Linked DNA regions of Drosophila melanogaster. The gene in region 2 interacts genetically with the main gene of each other region. Each region holds a gene or a part of one and is shown on either strand. Other genes may lie near its edges. The genes, in order: upd3 and bun.

What was found.
Region 1: of bun (region 2) and upd3, changing one suppresses a phenotype caused by changing the other (phenotypic suppression), as found in Drosophila melanogaster (one study listed by BioGRID).

What each region holds. Positions count from the first base shown.
Region 1 is NC_004354.4:18,273,608-18,286,813, reverse strand, and holds upd3 (unpaired 3), read right to left. Parts: upstream 9,582-13,206; 5' UTR 9,212-9,581; coding exon 9,209-9,211; intron 7,381-9,208; coding exon 6,931-7,380; intron 6,829-6,930; coding exon 6,631-6,828; intron 3,418-6,630; coding exon 2,863-3,417; 3' UTR 2,218-2,862; downstream 1-2,217.
Region 2 is NT_033779.5:12,541,846-12,551,997, forward strand, and holds the start of bun (bunched), read right to left. Parts: upstream 4,767-10,152; 5' UTR 4,565-4,766; exon of another isoform or gene 3,798-4,564; intron 2,499-3,797; exon of another isoform or gene 2,095-2,498; intron 1,754-2,094; exon of another isoform or gene 1,331-1,753; intron 1-1,330. UniProt on the Drosophila melanogaster protein: Probable transcription factor required for peripheral nervous system morphogenesis, eye development and oogenesis.

The DNA.
Region 1 (13,206 bases), on a different chromosome or scaffold from region 2:
ACATCTCCGCCAGCTCCGCCAGCTCCTCGAGTTCCCCGCACTCCTGGAGAATCTTCCGTATGGCGCGGGAGATTCCCACAGGCGGACGGCAATCGCTGAGCCAGCGATTTAGGTTCGTGGGAGAGTCGCGAATCAGAAACTCCACGCGAATCGTTTTACAATCGGAACTATTGGAGTTACTGGACACTGGACACACGCCCTGGTGGGCGGTCTTCGCGCCACGCCCCCTTCGCCGCTGAGCCACCGAACCACTGGAGGCTTGGGAACACTTAGGGAACATAAATGTAACGCCATTATCGGAGGAAATCTGCAGCGGAAAACATAACTCAAAAATACACACGGCGAATACAAGTTAAATATAAAATAAGAGGGGGAAAAGCAAGAAAAACACACAAATGAAATAAGATATTTTAAATTAATTGCCGTCGCACTGTCGACCAAGATCACAAAAAATCTGAAACAAAAACAGTTCCCTGCACGTGACTTGTGACGGGCCAAGTTGGACACAAAATATCCAGAGATTTAAAACTGAACAGAAAACAGAAACAAAACAAAGTGAACATTTAGATTAGATCTGTGCAGGCGCAAAAGTTCATTCAGCAGGAGCCAGGAGAGGAGAGGTCCCAAAAACAAGGGAGCCTGGCTCTCGACAGCACGGATACCCATTAAAGGAAGAGATGTTAGTTCTTAAGACAACATAGCAAGTTTGGGATGTAAAAAGTAGAATCGCGTTGAATTTAAATATAAAATATTTCTGAGATTATACAGTTGTTTTGTATAAAGTATCTACGAAGTTATATTCGCATTTGGAATTCTTGATGGTTATCCTTTATAAGGACATCATTAATAGTTTTCTCGGTGGTTCGGTCATTAAAAGCACCAAAATACCATAAAACAAGCCACTAATTTCTATAAGTACTCAACCCTTGATACCTTTGTTCCCACAATACGCACCATAATGCATATGCCCCGAAAAACAAGGGGTTTCCGGAGAGGGAAAGAGAGGGAGCGAAAAAGAGAGAGAGACAGATCGAGTGAGAGGGGTGAAGGCATTTCAACATTTCTCATAGAAAGACATAATTTTCAATTTAATAAAGGTCAGGCCAATAAAAACCTATCAAAACTGAAGATAGATGTGCGCTACGTGCACCTGAAAGGGACAAAAGGGTTGACGCAGCCTGCATGCAAAGCAGCCAGAGGGAGAGGGAGCTATCGGCGGATGGCCATGAATGGGATCGCATAGTTGCATGTGCGCCTCATTCGGATGGATCTCGGACCTGGCCAAGATCACTGGCCACAGATCTTCGCCAGATCAGCGGACGACGGAGAGGCTGCCGCAGGGAGAGCACACAATAAAATCAGACCGATAACCATCTTTACTGGAGACGCAGACAGAGATGGAGATGGCGATGGAGAATGGGAATGCATCCCTCTCTGTCGCTCTATCTTTGGCATATTAAATTGTTGAATCAGTCACCGAGAAGGAGTCGGAGTAGGAGTAGCTGATGCAGTTGGAGATGGAGGAGCTGTGCTGGGCAGACAAATCGGAGCACGTACACCGAGTCCGAAATTAATGACAATTGCTGATTGTGTGCGATAAACCCGATTCGGGTACTCCGGCAAACCGCAGTGGAGAACATCAAAAATCCAGGGCTCAGTGAAGGTGCGCGCGTAGATTCCGGCCCAGCGATAAGGCCGGGAGAATTGGAGATCTGTGAAAGGAAGAGCCGAGAAGGGAGATTCGGGAACGGGGAATGGAGAATGGAGAATGGTGAATCAAGAGCGGCGACAAACATTTCTTGTCGTTAAATCGCTGGTGTTTTGTGTGCAGCTGACAAAAAGGGACAAAGGTGACCCCGACTCCAACTCCGACTACGACTACGACCTCGATTCCGATTCCGATCCCGATCCCGATCCCGACCCAAGCCAAAAACCCAAACCCAAAACCCAGGGGAGAGAATTATTATATGGCTCATAAAATATTTGAACAAGTCTATAAATGCCGCGTAATTCTGCTGCAATTAAAGCCACGGCGACGATCGTAAAGGGGAATTGTTTGGACACTTTTATGTCTCTCTTACATCTCATCCAGCACGGTGCGTATGCGCAATTTCGGTGGGAATATATCTCGTATATACTATACCCCCACACATGAGTGTAATTGATATGGCGCCAGGAGAGGACCACCCAATCCGCAGATAAACTCTCGATGCATTTGTACTTTCAATGGTTTGTATTTGTATATTTGTATATTTGTGTTTGTATTTGATGTCTAAAATGTTAATTCCTAATCAAAGCTAAGTTACATAGAGGTGTAAATCGTACATACATATATCAGTGTGTAAATATAGTCGGGGGAGATATATAGCTTGTGGCCGTCGCGGAGCGTTGTGTTTACTTTAATCATCTACTATCACAGCATCGTAATACAAGGCAAAGTATATCTAGTATACTTAGTATCTAGCGGAATGTGCGGCAGATTGTTGGCGAGTTGCAATAATAAATAATACAATGGGACTTAAAGCTATCAAAAAAAAAAAAAAAAAATAATAATAATAAATTTAGTCGGAGAAAACATTACTATCGTGTTAGAATATCGAGAAAACTGGGTATCTCAAATTCACGTCTGTGGTGGATTGTTCACATTACTTATTCGGTTTTTCATAGCCTTGTGATTGTCGGGGATTCCTCGTGATTTGTCGTGACTGGTGTGGCGTGGCGTGAGTAATAAATATTGGATGTTTAATAAATTAAGGATGTCTTCATGGAATGAGCCTCGTTGTGTGGAATGGAGGTTTCGCCGGTTCTGAGCTCTTGGCTATAGCTACTTTCTACTTTCTACTCTCTGCTCTCTGCTCTCGTCTAGAGTTTCTTCTGGATCGCCTTTGGCACGTGGGTGGTCGCCTTGCACAGACTCTTACGCTGGTTCGCGAGTATCTTGCGGATACTCTTGAGATACTGCACAAACTTCAGTTTGGTGAAGAGGGCGTGCTGCTCCAGGACCATCAGGTCGTCGGGCGGTGGTGGTACATCCTCCCCGCGTGCGGCCAAGGTCGCCTGCTGGTGCAGCTCCACGAGTGGCACCAACGTCGAGTTGAACTGCTGCAGACGCTTCTCCATCAGCTTGCGCGGCAGTATCTTGTAGGTGACCACCGGTTGGGCCTGGCGCCGCTTCTTCTGGCCCCTCGGCTGTGGCGCCCGCTGCCTGTTGGGTGTGTACAGCAGGTTGGTCAGGTTGATGGCCTCCTCCACGCTGCAGAGCACCTCGCGGGCGGACTTCCGCATCCTTCCCAGCTCGTCGGAGAGCACGCTCTTCGCCTGCAGGTTGGCCAGGTCCCAGTGCAACTTGATGTTGCGCATGTACGTGAAGGCGCCCACGTAAATCTGCAGGTCGCGATGGGCGTGGCGAAGGTTCAACTGGAATGGGCAAGGAAAAAGATTGGAAGCGGGTTAGTTAAATTGATTTGTCAAGAAATATGAATACTATGAATGGGAACATGACTAATTGATAACTTTGATCTGCAATGAGAGGTTCTCTGTTGATAAGAATCTATGGATTCATATTTGTACACCCATTTTATATATACTAGTTTTTAGATTAAATTAAGTGCTCTATTTATATCATTAACTGTCCATGAACTTGTAAACTTATATATTCCCAACTTAATCATCATAGTTACCCCAACCCATATTGGAGATCAACTCCATAATCCTTGATTATATCAGCATAGAATTGAAAATAAAACAATTATATGGCAAAGTATGATATTTTTAAGTATTTAACGCCTTAATTACTTGTATCGCCATGAATGAAGGTCGGGGTTATCTTTATTGAATAAACCTTTTTCTGCACTCGCTTGCAATAAAAATCCCCAATTGTAAAATTAAAGTATTAGAAACGGCGAAACCTTGGCGGAAATTGCGATATCCATATCGCATATGGTGTATATAGTCGATCCTATAGTTCGAATTTTTTGGGTTGAGTGAACTGAGCCCACCAGCCCCTTTGCGGACCCCCCCCCCCCCCCCCTCCCATCGCACACACACTCCCCTCATCCCAACGACCAGAAACTTATCTGGCCGGCGGCTGAAAGTGAAAATCAAGCCGAACGCTCGCGCCGCTCTCTCGTAACTGTTTTTTGAGTTCTCGGCTACGCTTCGGCTGGCCGCTCGTGACGTCGACGTTGGCTCTTCGTTTCATTCATGTCGCGCTCGCCGCATGCCGCCGCTCACCCTTTCCCGCTCCCGCTCCCGCTCCCGCTCGCTCTCGCTGGAGTTTCGGGGGAATCCACGGCTCTGTTTCATATGAATCACATATCGCGTATACGCTCCGCGCCCCGTATCCCCCCGATCAACGACCACAAACGGCGTGTGTGTGTCATTTGCAATAAACGAGCGTTGTGAACTACTCAAACATATTATCGTTAAGGTCATTTCTTCTTCCGAACCGATCCGCTGCGGTATCAGCGAATTCGTTGTTTTCCTTTTTTTTTTTGGGTGGGTATGAGCGAATGCATGACGTCAAAAGGCCGTCGATTCTCGGTATCGAAACGATCCATCTAAATATAGAGTTCTTCTATCAGTCCCGTTTGCCACCTCGTCGTCGGATCGGGTTCCGATCTGGGGGTTCCGTTTCACTCTGTTCCGGGGATGTCAACAATTAGTTGGCACAATTGGCATTGACGTAGCCGATATTGGCCAAATATTGACACACATCCCGAGCGGCAAGTTCCCGAGCTTGGTGCAGAGTGAGAAAAGGTGGATCGACTGGTCGAATCGAGTAGTGTGTGATCAAAGGTATCTACTGAAAAACTCAACACGAAAGAGTACTTATAAGCAGCGAAGGCAGTCAATTGTTACCCTCATTTTCTCACAGTGTGATCCGCGAGGCCCAGGTACTTTTCCCAGACTATGACGACAATTGAGAAATTTCAGCGAAAGCCAAACTTTGCTCATCGCCCTGAATAGACGATTGAGTGGAATCGCTGGCTAAGTGAATGAATGGATGAAATGGAATGGCAACTATGATGGGACTGGCTAAGTTTAGCAGAACGGGTAATTAAAAAAAAAAATAAAAACCAAATTCCCAGGGGGTGGCGACCTTTGAGACTCCACTTGCACTCTGAACGCGACTTTTGGCTGACTCGAAGTGAGTCGGCGGTTTTCGCGGATCTTGACCACACTTGAGATTTTTCGCCGCACCTGCGATCTCATAAAAGTATCTGTTTATGGCCACGCCAAGTGAACTACACTCATCTGGTTATCTGCAGATATTACTGTCCTATACGAAACTTTCCCGGACACCAAGGAATTAGCACGTTGGGGCAACCAAGCCGATCTCGACCGATTCACGAAGCGACATCCACCTCATTGAAATGTGGACTAGACCCTTTCTAGTGCACGGCGTTTGTCATACTTGGTCACGTATCGACTGGTACTCCGTGGCAATCATTTCGCAAGTACCGCCATCCACATTCCGGAGCCCACATTCTATATTACTTCCATTACTTCCATTATTCACTGGCCTATCGGTCACTCCGGGTTTTTCCTCAACTGGTCTTGCTCATTTCACCGTGTCAGTGCGAAAATATTTCCGAATTCCCAGACCCCGACAATTTGGCATTACTAAACGGTTCCACTCTATTAACATCAAACTGTCCGCAACTCGAGGGTCTCGAAATTGAAAAGCTCCATAATTTTCCTCTCGCCATAATTCAGATGTCCGTGGCGAATCCAATTCGAAATTTGATTAGCTTCTGTTTGTTGTTGTTTACTTGTCAAAAGTGTAAATAAAATGTGCCGCTTGATTTTATTTTGTTTATTCAACAAATTATCCACTTCAGATACGAATTGAGATTCGGATTGAACTTCGTTTTCAGATTCAGATACAGCTTCAGCTTCAGCTTCAGCCTCAATTCGGATCGATCCAATCTACGGATTGGCCATAAAACGTGATCGCTGGATCAAGGCCGGTTTGGGGGGGATCGCGATGGATCTATATAAACAATAATCGAAAAAAAAAGCGCGCGCGCCGTCAATTTGCTCTTAATCTTAATGTGGTTATGGCATCGATTGCTAATGTTTTCCCTCGTGCTGTTGTTGTTTGCTACCAATGCAAATCGACGGTTAATGGGGCGTCCCGAAATGCCGGCTAATGCTGACAAAACGAACGAGGTGCGATCGAAAAGTTGGCGGCACTTAAGTGCTCAATGCAAGTTGCTGTTGGAAGTGTTGTCAAAACAACTCCATCATCAAGCTAGCACATATGAACTATATACATATCTCAATCTTTATTTCCTTAGTTTCCTTCATACCCCTCTATATAGATTGATAAATTCCCTTAATCACGCAAACAAACTATGGCAACAACTCTCGCGGCTGGCGGCACGATTCCCTCGGATTCGGACTCATATGACCGCTCCACTCGCCATTAGCTTGTGACGGCCTGTTTGCACCTACGCAGGTGAACGGGGCGAACGCCTCACGTGACCCTCTTTTTTATCACCTCAAGCTCCCTGGCAACAGAAGAACCCCCCGCGAGTGTTTGATGTTTGTAAATGATCCAGTAGTTCTTCACATGACGATATATGCATACATATATTATGCTTATGGCATATGGACGACACTCACCTGTTTGCTAGTGAGATTCAGACGGGGCAGGAATCTGTAGTTTCCCTTATAGAATCGCCACTTGTTCTTCTCGACAATGTCCAGAGTCTTGGTGCTCACTGTGGCCAGCTTGTCCGCATTGGTGGTGATCCTGGCCTTGTCCTCGGCCTGGATGCCCCGCAGCTCGCGGCCCGTTTGGTTCTGTAGATTCTGCAGGATCTGAAATAGATACAAATACATATATACATATAGATAATAGTGTGTGAATTAGTTGTGCCAATTTATTTATCAGCTAAGAGCCAACTTTCGCTTGAAACTTACCCTTTGGCGTTTCTTGCAGCGTTTCGCCTTGCTGTGCGTTTCGTTCAGACCCGTGGGCTTCAGATTGCAGGTGTTCTCCCAGTCCAGATGCGTACTGCTGGCATTCAATTTCTGCTGGAAGGTCAGCCGGAAGTTGGCCGCTCTGGAACGCTTCTGTAGGTGCTTCAGGGGATTGGTGGGATTGATGGGACTGGAGGGGCTGTCAGTGGGCGGGGTGGCCAGGTGACTGGGCGCCGCTGAGACGCCACAACCGCCGCCGGAGAGGGCAAACTGGGACATGGCCAAGGCGAGTAAGATCAGTGACCAGTTCCTGTTCAGGCGTCGTCGTCGATCCACGAACGGCGGTTGCGGCTGCGGTTCCACTGGATTCCTGGTTCTGGCCGTTTTGTTACCGCTCCGGCTACCGCTTCCGCTGCTCCTGCTGACGTCGAGCGGGCGGTCAGCTGTCGTCTGTGGATGGAAAAAGTTCCGAAATAAGCTAAACAAAATTTATACAAACACGCAAAGCCCTCAAGATAACACAGTTTCATTTTTTTCCCACCCATAATGGCTCGAGTTTCACTACGACTTCTTGACGTCACATCTTCGTCAGACGTCGTCGGTGTTTAGCATGAGAAAAGTCTAGCAACAGGTTATACTATTATTAGTTACCAAAAAAAAAAAAAAAAAAAAAAAATCAAATACGTATGTTCGATTTTCAGTTATTTACATACTCAAACTTTGGCCGAAAAGAGGGTTCGGTTGGCCAAATGTATTCCCCCTGCCGAGGGACCAATTACCATAAGTCAAGACTAACGGACGCTGCGCGGACAACTGAACTGAACCGACTGGTTATATATTATCTTGGCCAACTTTTGCCAAATATAAACCAAAATTCGCGCACGTGATGGTACGGATGTGTGATTGTGGTGCGATTGTTTTGTGTTATTTTGTGTGTGTTAGTGCCTGAGTGGGCGAATTATGATGATTGTTGGCTGCTTGGGGATTCCCGCTGGACGCACTTATGCGCAAACCCATACGCACACATATAAATATAATCGCAATTGTTTGGGGGGCCCGAAGCATGCGCGATTTGTTATTATTATCGTTTGCGCTTTAGCTACAGCTACGGCCATTGCTAGTGCCGTCTTTATCTGGCTGAAATAATTATTTCAAATTAAAAATAAATTTCTTTATTTAGCCAAATTATCATGAATCATCGTGTGTCGGGTGGAGGTCGACTTGCAAAGGTAGTGGTGATAGTGGTGCCACCGCACTGGCGGTGGCGGTGCTATCTCATATTGTCTGGTGGGGTAGGCTCCAATCGCTCCACACGCCTCCTACACATCGAGCAGCATGGTCAACGAAACATTGGTCTTGCAAACTTTTGTGAAATTCACTCTCTCTTGCCGTGCGTTTTCGCTCTCCGGCTCTTTATCGCGGTCCCTTTGCCCGGACCTTGTCCTCCTGTCTGTGCCGAATCGCTAACGCTTGTAGTGACAACCGCTGACGCATCCAATCTTCAATTCCTGCCAAACACCAGCAACACCAGCACCACCAGCACCACCAGCACCACCAGCACCACCAGCACCACCAGCACCACTGGCACCACCACCCCCGCGGCACGAAACGTGTAAATTAATTTCACATGTTTCGCTCTTTTTTTGGCCATTTTTCGTCAAAAGGGTTTTTTTTTACAGTTGCAATAACTATTAAGTTAGTTGCATAAGTTGTGTGGTTGAATGGAACAATAAGTTCCCAATAAGTTAGAATAGTAATAGCAAATAAATGCAAGTCGCCCCTGTACGATTAGTCATACTCATCCGAAAATAACGTCCATAGGTTTTCAAATAACTTTGGGTTTTTCATAATTGTAATAACTTTAAAATGCTATGATTCACATGTGGAAAAATGAACTTAACATATTGTGCATCATGAATTTATAACTTGTTTTCAATGCCTATCACCAAACAGTGTCAGTGATTCACGAATGAGTTTCCCCCATGAGAGGCTGGAGATGATGGTCCCTTTCGGTTGTGAGCCCTATCCCCATCTCCAATCCCTAAACCCATCACACCTCCTCCTTGGGGCCAATTTCATCATGTGTGGGGTACGTGACACCTCACCTGACCATTGCAGCTCTTGGCAAGAACTCTGCGGGTTCAGAAGTATCGAGCGAAAGACACCTGTACCTATCAACAAACCGAGCACGCACAGGTGAATTCTCTTATCGGCAGCAGAAAAGGCAAATATAAAATCCCCGAAAAAATACGCGCCTGCGGTAGTTACTTGTACTTACCATTTACATAAAAATCGTTGGCTGGGAATTCCGCACAAAAATTCGTACTTGATTGACACGCACTTTGCTTTTGTAACGCTGTTAGTCTTTTCTTTGTGTGTATTTGCCGGAAAGAAGCTTCCAGAATGCAACGGGGAAAAAAACGAAAAAAAAAACTAACCAATAATAAAAGCGATCGCGATTTGGCGAATTTGGCGAATCAGGCGAATCAGGCGACTTTGTCGAATTTGTTGAATTTGTTGAATTTGGCTGCGTATCTTTGTATCTTTATATCGCGGCTGGACGAACTATCGCGTTAAGTGTCGACGCGCTGCCTTCGACTGTCTGCTATGATTTGATTCCGATTCGATCGAAGTCGAAGTCAACAGCGCTGTCGATTTCTTGCCGCTGGAGAGCGTGGAGTGGAGTGTTGTGGAGTGGATTGGAGTGGCTTTCTCGCCGTCTTTGCGTTGTTTTTTTGTACAATTTTTGCAGTAGCGTTTCTTCACTTTTTTTTCGCCTTTTCGCGTGCAGTGGTTATGTGTGTATATATATTTAGTTTTTTGTTTTTGTGGCCGGCGGAGACTGACTGAACTCCTCAGTTACTATGAGCATACTAATGAGGAGGCGGACGCCCAGTCCGCCGGTCATGTTCGCTCCGCTCGAATCGCCAAAGAAGCGGAAGAGAGACAGGGAGAGGCTCTCTCGGCTGTCATGAGTGTGCAATCGCAAGAAAAGCGCTCAAAACATTCGCCGAGTGCCAAAAACAACGCGAGAAAGCCATAAAAAAGCACAGCTGAGCGATAAAAAAAAACAAAAACGACTCATAGCGGCTGGGTGTGGACAATGGGTTACCCTGTACCCAGGGTACTAGCAACTAGGAGCAATAAGATACGCTGAAGAAAGCATGGAAAAAAGCAGAAGAAAAGTATAACTTTAACTAACTTTAGTTAACTTTAATAATACTAAATATGAGAGATAACATCTAAACTAGGCAACAACAAGTACAATCATCCAATAGCTATTCGATTGAGACCAATATTTGGTTAGTGAACTAGTAACAAATGTCATAAATATTCTATATTACGGCCATTCCGAACATAATAGATTTATTACCAATATTACCCAGTCGTAATGGGCGTGAAAAATACAAACGTTTAGTGAATGATTAGGCCAGCTAGATTTCAACACGATGAGAAATACTCACAGCTCTCCAGCGCTCCCCTTTGGGGGATGACACATAATCGGCGCACTGGAGTGGAGTGATTGATCGATTCGTCGACTGGGCCGATCTCCACCAGATAAGGTCGCTGGGAGAGCTATTCACTGTCTCTCCCGCTCGCAGATAAACAAAACATGTGTAATTTGCCTATTTGCCGGTCTCTGGGGAACGAAATGAGCGGCTACTTGGCTCTTATCGAATGACTTTCACTCGGCACACACTTCCGATTCACCGTTTCTCCGGATCTCCCGTTCTCCGATTTCGATTCCGAGACGATCGTTTCCGATCCGAAGCGAAACGATCCATTCCGTTCCGTTTTGTTCCGTTCCGAAGTAACCCCCGCAAATAGTCGGCAATTTATGGGGGTTGGCATGAATTTCAGTTATTTCCGTTCAATTTCACAAGAATATTACTCATACGCTCCGTCGGCCGCCGACAGCCGTCAATGACGACACGATTTGTTCAACCGCGAGCCGGGCTCTCACGCTCGCAGACACGGCGATTCATTCATGATTGCCGACTACGCTCCACCGGTCGACAGAATGCGGATGCCGAGAGGGGGTAGGCGCAACTGCGGGGTGGCGGTCTAAATTTCACCGCGCGCCAAAACCATGATCAATCGAAAAGTAATTGAGCACTCATCGTTACTCATGGCCAAAGTGGCGACGTCTCCGTTTTGTCGTTTACCGTTTACGGTTCACGCTTTGCCGCGTACCATGTACCGTGTACCGCTCACTGCCACTGCCACTCCCACTCGCCGTCGGCCGCCCAACGCCCACCGCTGGCGGCCAAACTTACGGATGGTGATCGGTGTCATGATTTGGCCGAGCTATTTTTAAACCATTGTACGAGGCACACTGGTACGGATCGGGTAACTGCTGCTTTTGATTTCGGCTTATCGTGTTGATCTGTCCAATTGGCGGATATTTCGAATTCGATTCAATTTGATTCGACTCGCTGCGAATTGACCAAAATTGGCCGTGTTTGCGGTATCTATATATATTATATGTATGTATATTATCGCAATCCAATGATTGTCTGTGCCTGCCATTCGGTGGCGTTAGTGTAAAACCCTAATGGCTAATGCATGACAATCGATGACGATGACTGGGGTGCCAGCGGCGGTGGCGTATGAGTAATATTTTTGACGTCTTTTGCCGCAATCATGTGAGACACGCGTGCGGCACATGGGGAAACTCTCGAGACTGTATGAATGGAAATGGAAATTGATTGGGATGTAGTGGAAACAATTTGCGGTTGGGGTGGAAAATTATTATTTTTTTTTTTTTTCACTTCGAAGGGGAAAAACTTGAATGAACTTTGGCTTGACTGGCAGTGTGCATAGTACGTAGACACGTACATAAGCTAACTTGCAATTTTCGAGGGGAAGAACTTTCTCGTTTTACATGTGGAACTAATTAATTACACTGGAAAGCGATCGAAATGCTACATTCTAAGTGGCTCATTAGGTGTATTTCGCGATTGAGCGCAATGGGTATGCTAATGTGCTTCGAGAACGATTTAATTTGGTGGAAAAGTAATCTTGAAATTTTCAGCACATTCAATTGGGTAGCATTCTATCATTTGATTCGGTGAAGCACAACTATACACTAGATTTTCGTAGAATCCCAGGTACAAAAGCCTTGGGAAAATTTCCAAGATATTCATAAGTTTCTATCAATACTTTATATAATTAATATGAATTATATTAAATATCTTCATGGGCATTAACTGAATTACCCGGAGTTTTTCTTTCGTGCAACATGCTGTTGTATAGTCATAGAAGATTCCACTGACCTACATACACGAACTTCCGGCGAGTTCTTCTGATAAGATCAGCTATAAATTGTGTTTTATAGTGCGCCGCGTCAAGTGTTAGCCATTTTATCAAATCGCACTCGAAATGAGTGAGCATAGAAATCATTTCGTTTTTCGGCCATGTGAAAATTCCCCAATAATGATATAATGTCTATCGCGATTGCAATCTTTAGAAATTTCTTGACTAGGCGGTGATAAGACAGCCGCAGAGAACTTTGAACCCGCGACCGTCGGCGAGATGCTGCCAGATGCCAGCTCATCGCGAGGAATTTGAGTTGGCTGTAACCGCATAATGCTAATTTATTGTCCAATCGATTTGAAACAGCAACTAAAGGCTGCAAAGTCAGAGAGTCAGGAGAGCGAAGCAGCGGTGAAAGTGAGTCATAAAAGCAGCGAAATCGCGGGGCCAGAAAACAATGCCAAATATTTTACGGCTAATGAAATTGGTTGCAGTGTCGCAGGGGCGATGGCTCTTGGCTTTTTGCTTGATTTTCCTCTTGTTTTACTCATCGTTCTACGCGCACTCGTTCACTAACTACAATAGTTCATTGATAGTCGCTACACGAGCACCACGTGGCGTATGAGCAATTTGCAATTGCAGATTAATAGCTGGCCGTATTGATACTTCCTGCGCAGAGATGGGGCTGGGCAAAGGGGGGCCAGGGGCATCGCGGGGCCTTTAATGCCCGCCAATTTGGGGGGATACCACACGGCGGTTTTCATCTTTGCCGACCCAACGAAATTTAAAAGTTTCACACATAACAAAGTGCGAAGGATGCAGTCAAAAGAGCCCAAAAAGAGCCAAACTTAATTAGCGCCCATTGCAAAAATATTTACGGCAAAACAAAATAACACCCATTAAGGCAGACCCGGCGGGGGCAGAGGCTTCCCAGGGGGGGCGGGCGGTTGGCCAAGCGGGCACAGGGGGCGGAGTGGCAGAGGGGGGGCGCAAATGCGTGATGATCACCGGGTAACGCCC
Region 2 (10,152 bases):
TTTCGTTTACGGAAATCAGAAATGAGTCCGCTAACCAAAGAGATAGAGATAAAAAAGGCAACCCACAAAATGATTCGCGAAAAAAAATGTTGCCGAAAAAGTTTTGCAAACATTTTCGGGCACACGCGCCGTTTTTTCCGCACTTGTGTTGGTTAATAACCGTAAGCTTTTCGACGATCATTCATAAATTGCGTGGACTGTTTAGAAGAGAGTGTACTTGTGTGTTTAAGTAAAGTGGGCCCTCGATAAGGATTCTTCATAATTAACCATCGTTTTTTAAATTTTAGAAAATTTGAATTAATTTTTTTTTGGTCTTAAGCAAAAATAAGAAGATCAAATTGAATATTCAATATTGAGTCATTAAAGCAATATCTAAATATACAAAACAATATCTTTCATACAACGGTTTTGTTTAGAGGGACATTTTGTTGACCTGAATACTAAACTTATATAATAATTCATATATAGACTTTTGAGTGATTACTGTAGTGGCGTTTGAACTCTGCGTTTGCCCTGCCAGAAGGCAAAGTCAAGACCTTGACGCTGCTCTTTTATTCTTTCTCTCTCGCTTAATTTTGTTTTATTTCTTTTGCCTAATCGAGTTATAAACGACGCAAAAAAATCTGATTATTCTGTGGCTAGGAGAGTCGAAAAAAAGAGACAACCAACAAAACCAGCAAACCAGAAGAACAACTGAATAACAAAAAATCAGTTATAGGTCAACATTGGTCGTAGCACTCTCTCAAGGTGGGTATTTTTGTTTTTGTTTTTTTTTTTTAGTTTTTTGGCCTGCTGTTTGTTGGGGGTTTAAGAGTCTATTGGCCTTGTTCTTGAGCCACGCAGGTGTTGGCCCAAAGCTTCTTCTTCAACTTAAGTTGATTTCGAATATAATTTGAGGGAGTAAAGTTGTGGTAATTGGGCATCAGTTGTTATGAATGAAAACCAATAGCTCTTTAGAATGGATAATTAATCTAGACGAAATTGGCTCAATTAGAGAATTTAATCCATTGAAAAAGCGCACACCCAAACCGAACCAGAATACCCAATTCATCAAGAACCACTGGAAGTGGAGTATCCATTCTTGTAACTCATCTTCTGGACAATAAACTTGGGACCCCTTTTAACCCCCCGGCAGTCAATAATCAAAGTATCGCTGTAGGCACCAGATTTCGCACACAAACAAATCGGCGAATGGAAAGGAGGAGGAGGAGGACTTCTGCCTCTGCTCACTGCCTTCCTCAATAGCAAAAGCAACAACAAGGAGATGGGGTGAAAAGAAAATGAGAACTAAAAGTGCAGACAAGAAGCAAGCAACAGAAGAAGAACTAATTGCAACGACAAAGCATAAAATCGATGGCAAGCCAACAACAACAAATGTAATGAAAAGCAACTACAACAGATAGTACAGAAAGAGGCAAGCGCGAGCGAGAGAGAGTGAGTGTGAGCGAGCGAATGCGCGTTGAGAAAATTGCAATCGGAGAGCGGGAGCTGCAAGAGAGCGAGAGCAGCCTGTTGGCCCCTCCGCAACCGCATCTACATCCACATGCTCCTTCCTACCAACGTGGGCGCCTACAAGTGGGCGGGACGGGGTGGGGGCCGCATACCAAACAAACCGCAAAAGGAGAGCGGCTGCTCGCTCGCACTCTCCCGCTCTCGGACAGCTGCCGGTAATCAATATTGATGATGATAGCAGCAGCCGAAGAAGATGAAAAGCAAAAGGAAAGGTGTCCCGATTGTTCGCAGTGCATCAAAGGTAAGCCAGGATATATTGCCAATACAAAATACGGTAATAAAATGCACTGCTGCTTTCTCAGCTAAACCATCAAAACCTTATCAAGCCCTACTAAACTTTAAGACTATCGGTAAAAACAAAAACGAAAATGGGATATAACAAAAAAGGCCTTTAGGAGCAAAAAATAGAAACAAAAAATAAATGGGTTATCCTCTAAAAAATCCTCTAAAAATTTATACCTTGCTGACAGATATAAAACTGAACTTTAAGGACACCAGGGTGTTAAATAATGCATAATGAAAATTCAACCGAGTTAATAACTTTTCAATCAGTGACTTTCCTTTCCTGTCTTTCACCCACAGGCACTTCCCACCTTTTCTTCGCTCTTTTCCTTTCCGCAAGGAAATGATTCACAATGCAAAAAAAATGGCAAGGGAAAAGGAAAAGAAAAACGAAGGCGTTGTAGGAGGAAGTAAAAGAACCCGAAAGAGCGAGAGAGAGCGATGTATGCAGAGAGAAGGCAATGAAAATGTTTATCAAACGAGAAAAGAGCAGCGACGAAGATGAGGAGGAGGCGGCTGCAAAAGGAACAACAACAAGCTAGAGATTACAATGACAATGCATCCATGAGATACTCAGATACAATTGAAATCGAATATAATTTCTCAATTGAATTGAGTCGCAGAATGTAAATAAAGCAACAAGACATCAAAGAAAATTGGTGCAAATAGGTGTTAAATGTACCGAAAGTGACAATACCCTAGATAAAATAATTAGTTATTTTTTTATGATGGTTTCATTCAAAAAGTTAACCAGTTGTTGAAAGATTGGTACTTTTCCGCTAGCAATCAACCCCGAAATTCCTACATTACAAAAAAAAATGAACTGATTGAATTCTGGTTTGGTCGACGTGACTGTCTGCACACGCATTTCTTTTATGCAGATAGATCCCTGTTCAAGAAACCCCAGCTTATTTCTTGCAACTTCTTGATACCGATACCTATGAAAGTAACTCGCAAAACAATCCAAACCTTTCTGAGTTTGTGCCATCGGTTGTATCAAAGAGTTGGCAGAAATCTGAAGTGTATCCGATTCCTAAACGCAAATATATCGTCCAGTTATAGTTACAAAATGGTGCATGGTAAGCAGAAAAATTTGCCACGCGGCTTGACAAGAAAACCGATCTGGCCTGAGGTTTATTTTGTTTTGCTTTGAAATCGGAGATGCGTTAAAAGGGATGATCATTATGATCGTGAAGATATTGTAGATTGGTTCAAGGGCATTCAAAGCTAATCAGATTTATTCATTTCAAGTTTGTATAAAAAGGGTACTCATACAGAGTGAATTTCATATTTTAGTTCATAAACTAGAAATTAATATTCTCAGAAATGCTGGTTGGTTTTTGCAAATCTACTATTATTGCACACCGCTGTTATTAAATACGTATCCATAATTCTAAACACTTGTGTGTAATTCGAGTTACCGTTAACCAAACAGAACACACAATTTTTTATATGAATTTCTACTAAAAATCACATATGAAAAAAAAATTACCCCATAATATCGGATGGCAAATAAGCAGAAAATTGCAAAATGGCACAAAAACAAAACTAACACTTGACTAAACAATCAAGGCGAAGCAGAACAGAAAATAAACAACAATGCCGGGCCAGCTGACATTATAAACAAAGGTAAATGGCACATAAAATACAGTAGAAAACGAAGGAATATTGGAGTTAATCAAATGCTTGGCCAGCTGTTTTGGAGAAATGGGAATGGAAAGAGGAAATGGGAAAAATCTAAGGTACAAAGTGCAAGCTGCAACAACAACTGAGCGAAAGTGAAGAAGCAGACCAAAAGGATGGGCACACACGCTGACACACACACACACACACACACCAACAATTACGCGACTGTTTTGCACTTTTGTTTCATTGAATTTCTCTGATTTTTCCTTCGTTTTGAAACATGTTTCGATTTGCTTTGCTTTTTTATTGGTTACTTTCTGATCGATTTGTTGCACTAAGAGGCAAAGGCCTCTCTTTTACATTTTTACCACACTTACGCGTATGTCAAACAATTTAAAATTACTTGTTTCTTGGCGTAAAACAATAAACTTAAAACAAGCGAACGGCCACGAATTTAATTTGGATGGGATATTAGTTTTTCGTTGCGTTTTGCTAATCGGACAAAAGGAAGGTAAATGACAGTTTTGACACTTGGCTGTGCACAAGCAAAAAGCGGAGAGCACTGCGAGAGAGTCGATTCGGAGAGCGAAAAAATGAGTGAGAGAGAGATGGAGAGAGAGAGAGAGGAATTAAATAAACGAAAAAGCGTGCATGAAAAATTGGCGAAAAAAGTTTTGTGCAAAAAAAAAAAGCGAAACGCCGAACTGCGGAAAGCAAACAATCGAATTCAACATTTTTTGTGCAAATTTTAACGCCAGGGAATTTTTTTCTTTTTAGTTTTCCTGGCAAAGGCGGCTCACACCCACACATACACAAACTCTCTCTCTATGTCTCTCTTTCGCTGCCACTCTCTTCAAATCTGCAGAGAGTCGGCAATCCACAATTTTTCGTTCTTTCGATTTTGCACATCTCTCCGCTTGTCACTTTACTTTTCGCAGCTCTTTGGCTTTTTGCAAATAAATTAATTTTTCAGCGCACATATAAATTTTCCATCAGTGCCATTTGTGCTCCGTTTTCTTATTCAATTTACACGCACACACAGCCGCAGCAGCAGCGCACACACATCTCTACATCTGCATGCCAGCTCGCTCACACACACAGCGACGCACACGTCACACTCATACACTCACACGCACGCACATACACAGTTTTTTCTTCGATTTTGCGCTAGCTCTCGCAGCCTTTTTTCGCTTTTCCTCGTCGTTTTCAAGGGCGCCGCGAGTTAAGCGATTTTGCAATACGTTCGCGGCGCGTTCGATTTGCGTTCTTTTACTTTTTATCCGTCTGCAGACAGCGAAAAAGACCAACAACTTGCCTTGCGTTTTTGTCCCAACTCAAAATGCCAATAAAAATATAATATCAAATAATAATACCAAATACTGAATACGGGATTTTTGGCACATATAGCGGTCACACTATACTGTTCAAAACTGATATTTTAGCATTTTTTGGTTTGGTTCTGTGCTAAATACAACTATCGATTGTTAAGTTCTACACGCAGGCGATTGTCGTGCGATATACGATATCGTTTACATATCGTTTAGAAATCCCTAGCGCAACATTGGCGCTCGTTTTTCCATTATTCGAAAATGAATTTAACATAAAATTAACATATACTTTAGAACTAAGTTATACTAAGGCGAGTGGCACAACTCTACTTTTATTTGATTGTTTTAGGAATCATTTTTGTATATAATGGGCTTATATAATGTCGATAATAAGTTCTGGTCAAAAATCGGACTATTATAAATTTTAATTATATTTATATTTAATATCATATCATCTATAATTATCATATAATATAGTTAAATTTTTTATTAGCAAAATAACTGCAGTAGTTACTCTTTTTGTGTCGAAATCACTGAAAAAATCGTTAAACAGATCCCGCGTCGAAGTACCGAACCAACAATTTTACATTTACATATATTTTACATTGGTTCGCTTCTTTGCTTTGATTTAGAAGCGAATTTCAACGAATCTAAGCGAATTCAAACGACTAAAATTCGATTGGTAAATCTTTATAAAAATATATGTAACAAATAATTTGAATCATTAAGAAAATTAATACCTTAACAATGCTTAAATTTGTATACTTTACTTGTTTTTATAAACAAAATAGATACATAGAACTGGCGCTCAGTTTTCTATTTTTTCTATTAAATTTTTCTATTGATGTTTATTAAAGCTTAAAAATAAACATAAATTATTGCCAGTAATTATGTAACTGCTTTTGAGCATTTCCTGTTCTAGCGCTAAGACTTCTCAAGAAAGTTTTGTGGAGTAACAGGTATCTGATAGTCGCACTGCTGCTTGTTACCTTCTTGCATTTATTTAACTCTTTGGTTCTTCTTTTAATTAAGTACCTTGCTGATACTCTGCTTGCTAACTTTAATCAGTTAAGACTTTAAATATATTCAACTCTTACCAACTTTCTTAAGCTGGCTAACGGGTATCTAATAGTCACACCATTCGACTAAGACATTCCTTTTTTCTTTTTTTTTTCGTCCTGATGGAGTTCAGTGAAGCGTTCTGATTTTCTTGTCAAAGCGGAAAGAAATCACGCTAATGATCGACGCACCCTCCACCAATTGAAACTCCACTAAGGAGTTCTATATATGTACATATGCATGTATATACAATTATATATATATTTATATAGTATATCGCAACTGACCACTTCGTTCGCAACGGAACGTGTTCGGGATTAGAATTAATTCCACTGACCAGCCCCGCCCCGCCCCGCCCACTTTCACACAGCGACTGCAGGCGACACCCTCGCATTTGGCCAACGTCTCATTTAAATTGCAGCAGGCAGGAAAAACATTTGGCAAACATTTTTCGCCCCCCAAAAACTGCCCCTTTTTTCGCTTGTGGCATTCAAAGGTTTGACGATTTGCCGTACATGTTTGGTGCGTAATTAGTGCAGACCGATGCGTTGCACCCTTGTGAAATGCCAAAAGTCCTGCGATCCACTCAATCGTGCTCACTGGCATTTTTTCCTTTTCTTTAACAATTTCCATTTGATTGCATTCGTGGGGAAGAAAATGCTGGCTCCGGCATTCATTGGGGTGACCAACGTTGGCGGGCTTAACTGTCATTTCCATGAGATGCCCATTTGGTCAAGCACACACTGAGCGAAAAAGGTTAAAAAATTACATATGTATATTTTTTTGAAATTGTTTTAATTTTTCTGTATTGAAAAATAGATAATATATAATAACTCATGTTATTTCAGATTATGATAAAACGAAAATAAGTTCTAGATTCTTTTTTGTGACTGTGAATTTTTCAATTACACAGTTTACATAGTTACATAGTATATTGCTTTGCCTGTGAAGTTTTCATTTCTACGATTTGTGATTCGGAGTATAAATATTTTTTTCTTCTGTGTAGGTGGAAATACACAACTCCGTTGGCAGCATACACATCCCCAACGCATATGCAAAACTTTTGCGTTTCATTTGAATTTCCCTCTCTGCGTATGCCACATCGTATCCTCGCATCCTCGCACTTTCTTCTCATTTCGCTGCCCGTAATTATGAAGATGAATGTCCTTATTGCTTTTATATCCCTTTTGCGTGTATGTGAGTGCTTTCAGTATATGTGGTTGAGTTTAGCCGCCGACATTCTCTATTAATAATGCTTTCAGTCACACTCTGCATACAAGTTCGTTTGAATTTGTTGCCATTTGGAACGTTGGCAGTTGCCTGGGTACTGCACAGTGGGGCAGAAATGTTATTAATGTTGTAATGTAAATGTAATGTTCTTAATTTTATCTTAATTTAATTTGGTTTTTATAATTTTTCTGAATAGATACTACTGGTTAACTTCAAATATAATATAGTAGGAAATTATCCCTAAGTTGTTTGTGGTATTGGACTTGATGGGAGGTATTTCCTCTTATTTCTCTTACTTTCAAAAAATCTGGGATAAAATGGCTTTTGTCCCACTGTGCCGCAGGAGCAGCGCGTGCAACGTGCCACGCCTGCCTGCCTCCCACGCATCTCGTTTTCTTTCGTTTCGCCGACGGCCGTGGCAATAATAAAGGAAAATCCGACAGGATGCTAATGCGTATTTAGTTATTTAGTTTGTGTGTGTGTGTGTGTGTGTGGGAGAGGGGGAGGGGAGGCTAAAGGACACAGGACTCGCCACATTTATGTTTGTTTTACGCGCGTGTGTGTGTGTGGGGGATGCAAAAAATATTTGCATATTATCGATTTTAGTTGCCGATGGAGTGGGAAATAGTGTACAGAGAAAACATAGCATCCGAAAAAAAGGAAGAAATATCCTTAAAGCACATCAAACAGGCTCATCTTACATTTATAGAAACTTAAGGACATTTAAGTAGCTTAGCATAGAACTTAAACCGATCAATTTGAGTTTCGAATGGCGAACGAAATTCGAAACTGAATACAAAACGTGCTGGGCACACACCAAAATGGCCGAGGTCCTTTAAGGACCATAAGCGGATTTCAACAATTTAAGCAAAACATTTTTTTTTTAGAGCGCAAAATGTCAAACGTAAAGGCGAAAGCGTCCAATTAGATGGCTCAAAAACTTTCCAATCAACCCTCACGAATTTGTGCTGCCGGGGGATGAGAGAGTCCTTACCAATATCCTGCGGCCAGTGCAAGAAAGAAATTATAAACAGTAATGAATTGTAAATTGAGTTGATATTGTAAGAAAATTAGTCAGTGTAAAGAAATGCAATTTTCGTAGAAAAACTACAAATCAAGCTATTAAAATAAGCAAAAAAATTAAATACGTGCAGCATAATCAACAAAAAACAAATATTTTTTCTTTCAAAACATATATATATATAATCCAATTCCCTGATTCCCGACAAGTAAACAAAAAACATATACGCGTATAAGCATTAATAACAATCCAATAGGATTTACAATGCATTGCAAATGTCATAAATATCAATATGAGCGACAGTTGACTATCTGCGTAGCTTTTTTAGATATAAATTTAATTTTAATGGCCGCAACGTCTAGGCAGGATAACATGAATGTCCTATTTAAAGGATTAGCCCATTGAGTTATGAGCCAAAAAAAGCCGAATTGCCACATTGCCACATAAAATATGTCTGCGTGAATTTGCTTTTTAAGTTAATTTTATTTTATGTCCCTTTGGCCAGCGGATTGTCCGTTGCGAAACGCGTTCCGTTTTTTTAATGGTGATTTATCTGGAAAGCGAAAGTGAAGGAGTTTACGGGGGCGTAGGCCTTTTGGGGATCCAGCGATAGCTTTTTTATGGCCAAATCCAGGCTGACAAATGGCCAAAGGACTTGGCCATTAGAGGCTGTTCAATCGCATTCGAATCTAACGTGTTACATATTAATTGCCCATAATTTATGACTAGCATTATGGAATATAACAACTTTTCCTGATTTGTGGAGCTCCCTTTCATTTTCAATGGTTTTCATTTTGCAGAACTAAATTAGGCGCACAAAGAAAAAAAACAATTTCAAAGCTCATTAAATGTTTCGTTTGCTCAGTATTTCTTTTTTTTTTGCCCAGTAGATCTCGTAGTGGATAAGTCTGGTCGGAAATTATGGCTAAATATTTTTGGCTATTTGGGGTTGTTTACCAGCCACACTTTTTCACCATACCATCCTATGGATATCTATCATCTGATTTTGGTAGGGGTTGACGGCTCTTGAGGGCGTGCACATAATCATAAGTGTCGCAATTGTTGAATGATTGCAACACGTAAGGCGCAACAAATTGTGCTTCATTGGGATCAAAATGAAATAGTTCTTTTGGATTTGATTCAAAATAATACAATTTTTTGAATAATTTTTAGCCTTAAAAATGCTACTAGTTAACCCATTGATGAACTAAATCTTACTTTAATTCTTCTTCTAATTAAAGTTGCGAAAGGTATTTAATGCATTGTGGCATACCTACTTGGATTCCCCTGAGAGACATACTCATCATCCGCTTCCGCATCGTATAAGTAATTTCCCTTTGACAGCCCGCCGCCTTCGCATTATGTTTTTATCTCGACACTTGGCAGAAATCTATTAGATTCTGACTCAGAGATCTGAGGACTCAATGCCCCCATCGCCAGTGCCAGGACACACTGCATCAATCCTGGCAGTGGCCATGCACGTCGCCTGCATTCGTAAGTCTGCGCATTTGTTTTTCCCTTTGTGCTGGGGTCTTTCATTCCGGTCTTCGTCTACATATGCACAATTAATATTCAAGCAACCGTTTCACCCCCCCCCCCCCCAAAGGACCTTCCGCAGGACCCATCTCCGATCTACACGGATTTGCCGGGCCTTCCATTGGCTTCACGCCCCGCCATTTGATGGGGTGCGAATTGCGATTCAGCAGGGTGCGATGCGACTTAACCTCAGTGTCCAAGGGAAGAAACTACTGGGGGATTGGAGTTTGGATTTGGTTTCGGGTCTGCAACATCCAGGGTCGCATTAAGTGTAGACATTATTCATTTTTGATGATGAATTTCCATGTCTCGCATGTCTAGGGCTTTTCCCTTGCCCATCGTCCAGTAATAAGTAATAAGTGCCGAGCGGCGCAAAAAGAGATGAGGGAAAAAAAGTGGAATATATATATATATACAATATAACCAAGTGGGGGAGGCACATGAAAAAACTTTTAGTTCTGTTGCTGTTTGGCATACAAATGAGTTAAACTTTGAATGGCAGTTGCCGGTGGGTTGAGGTCGGCCGGGGGGAGGGAGAACTTTCAGGGAAATGACCAC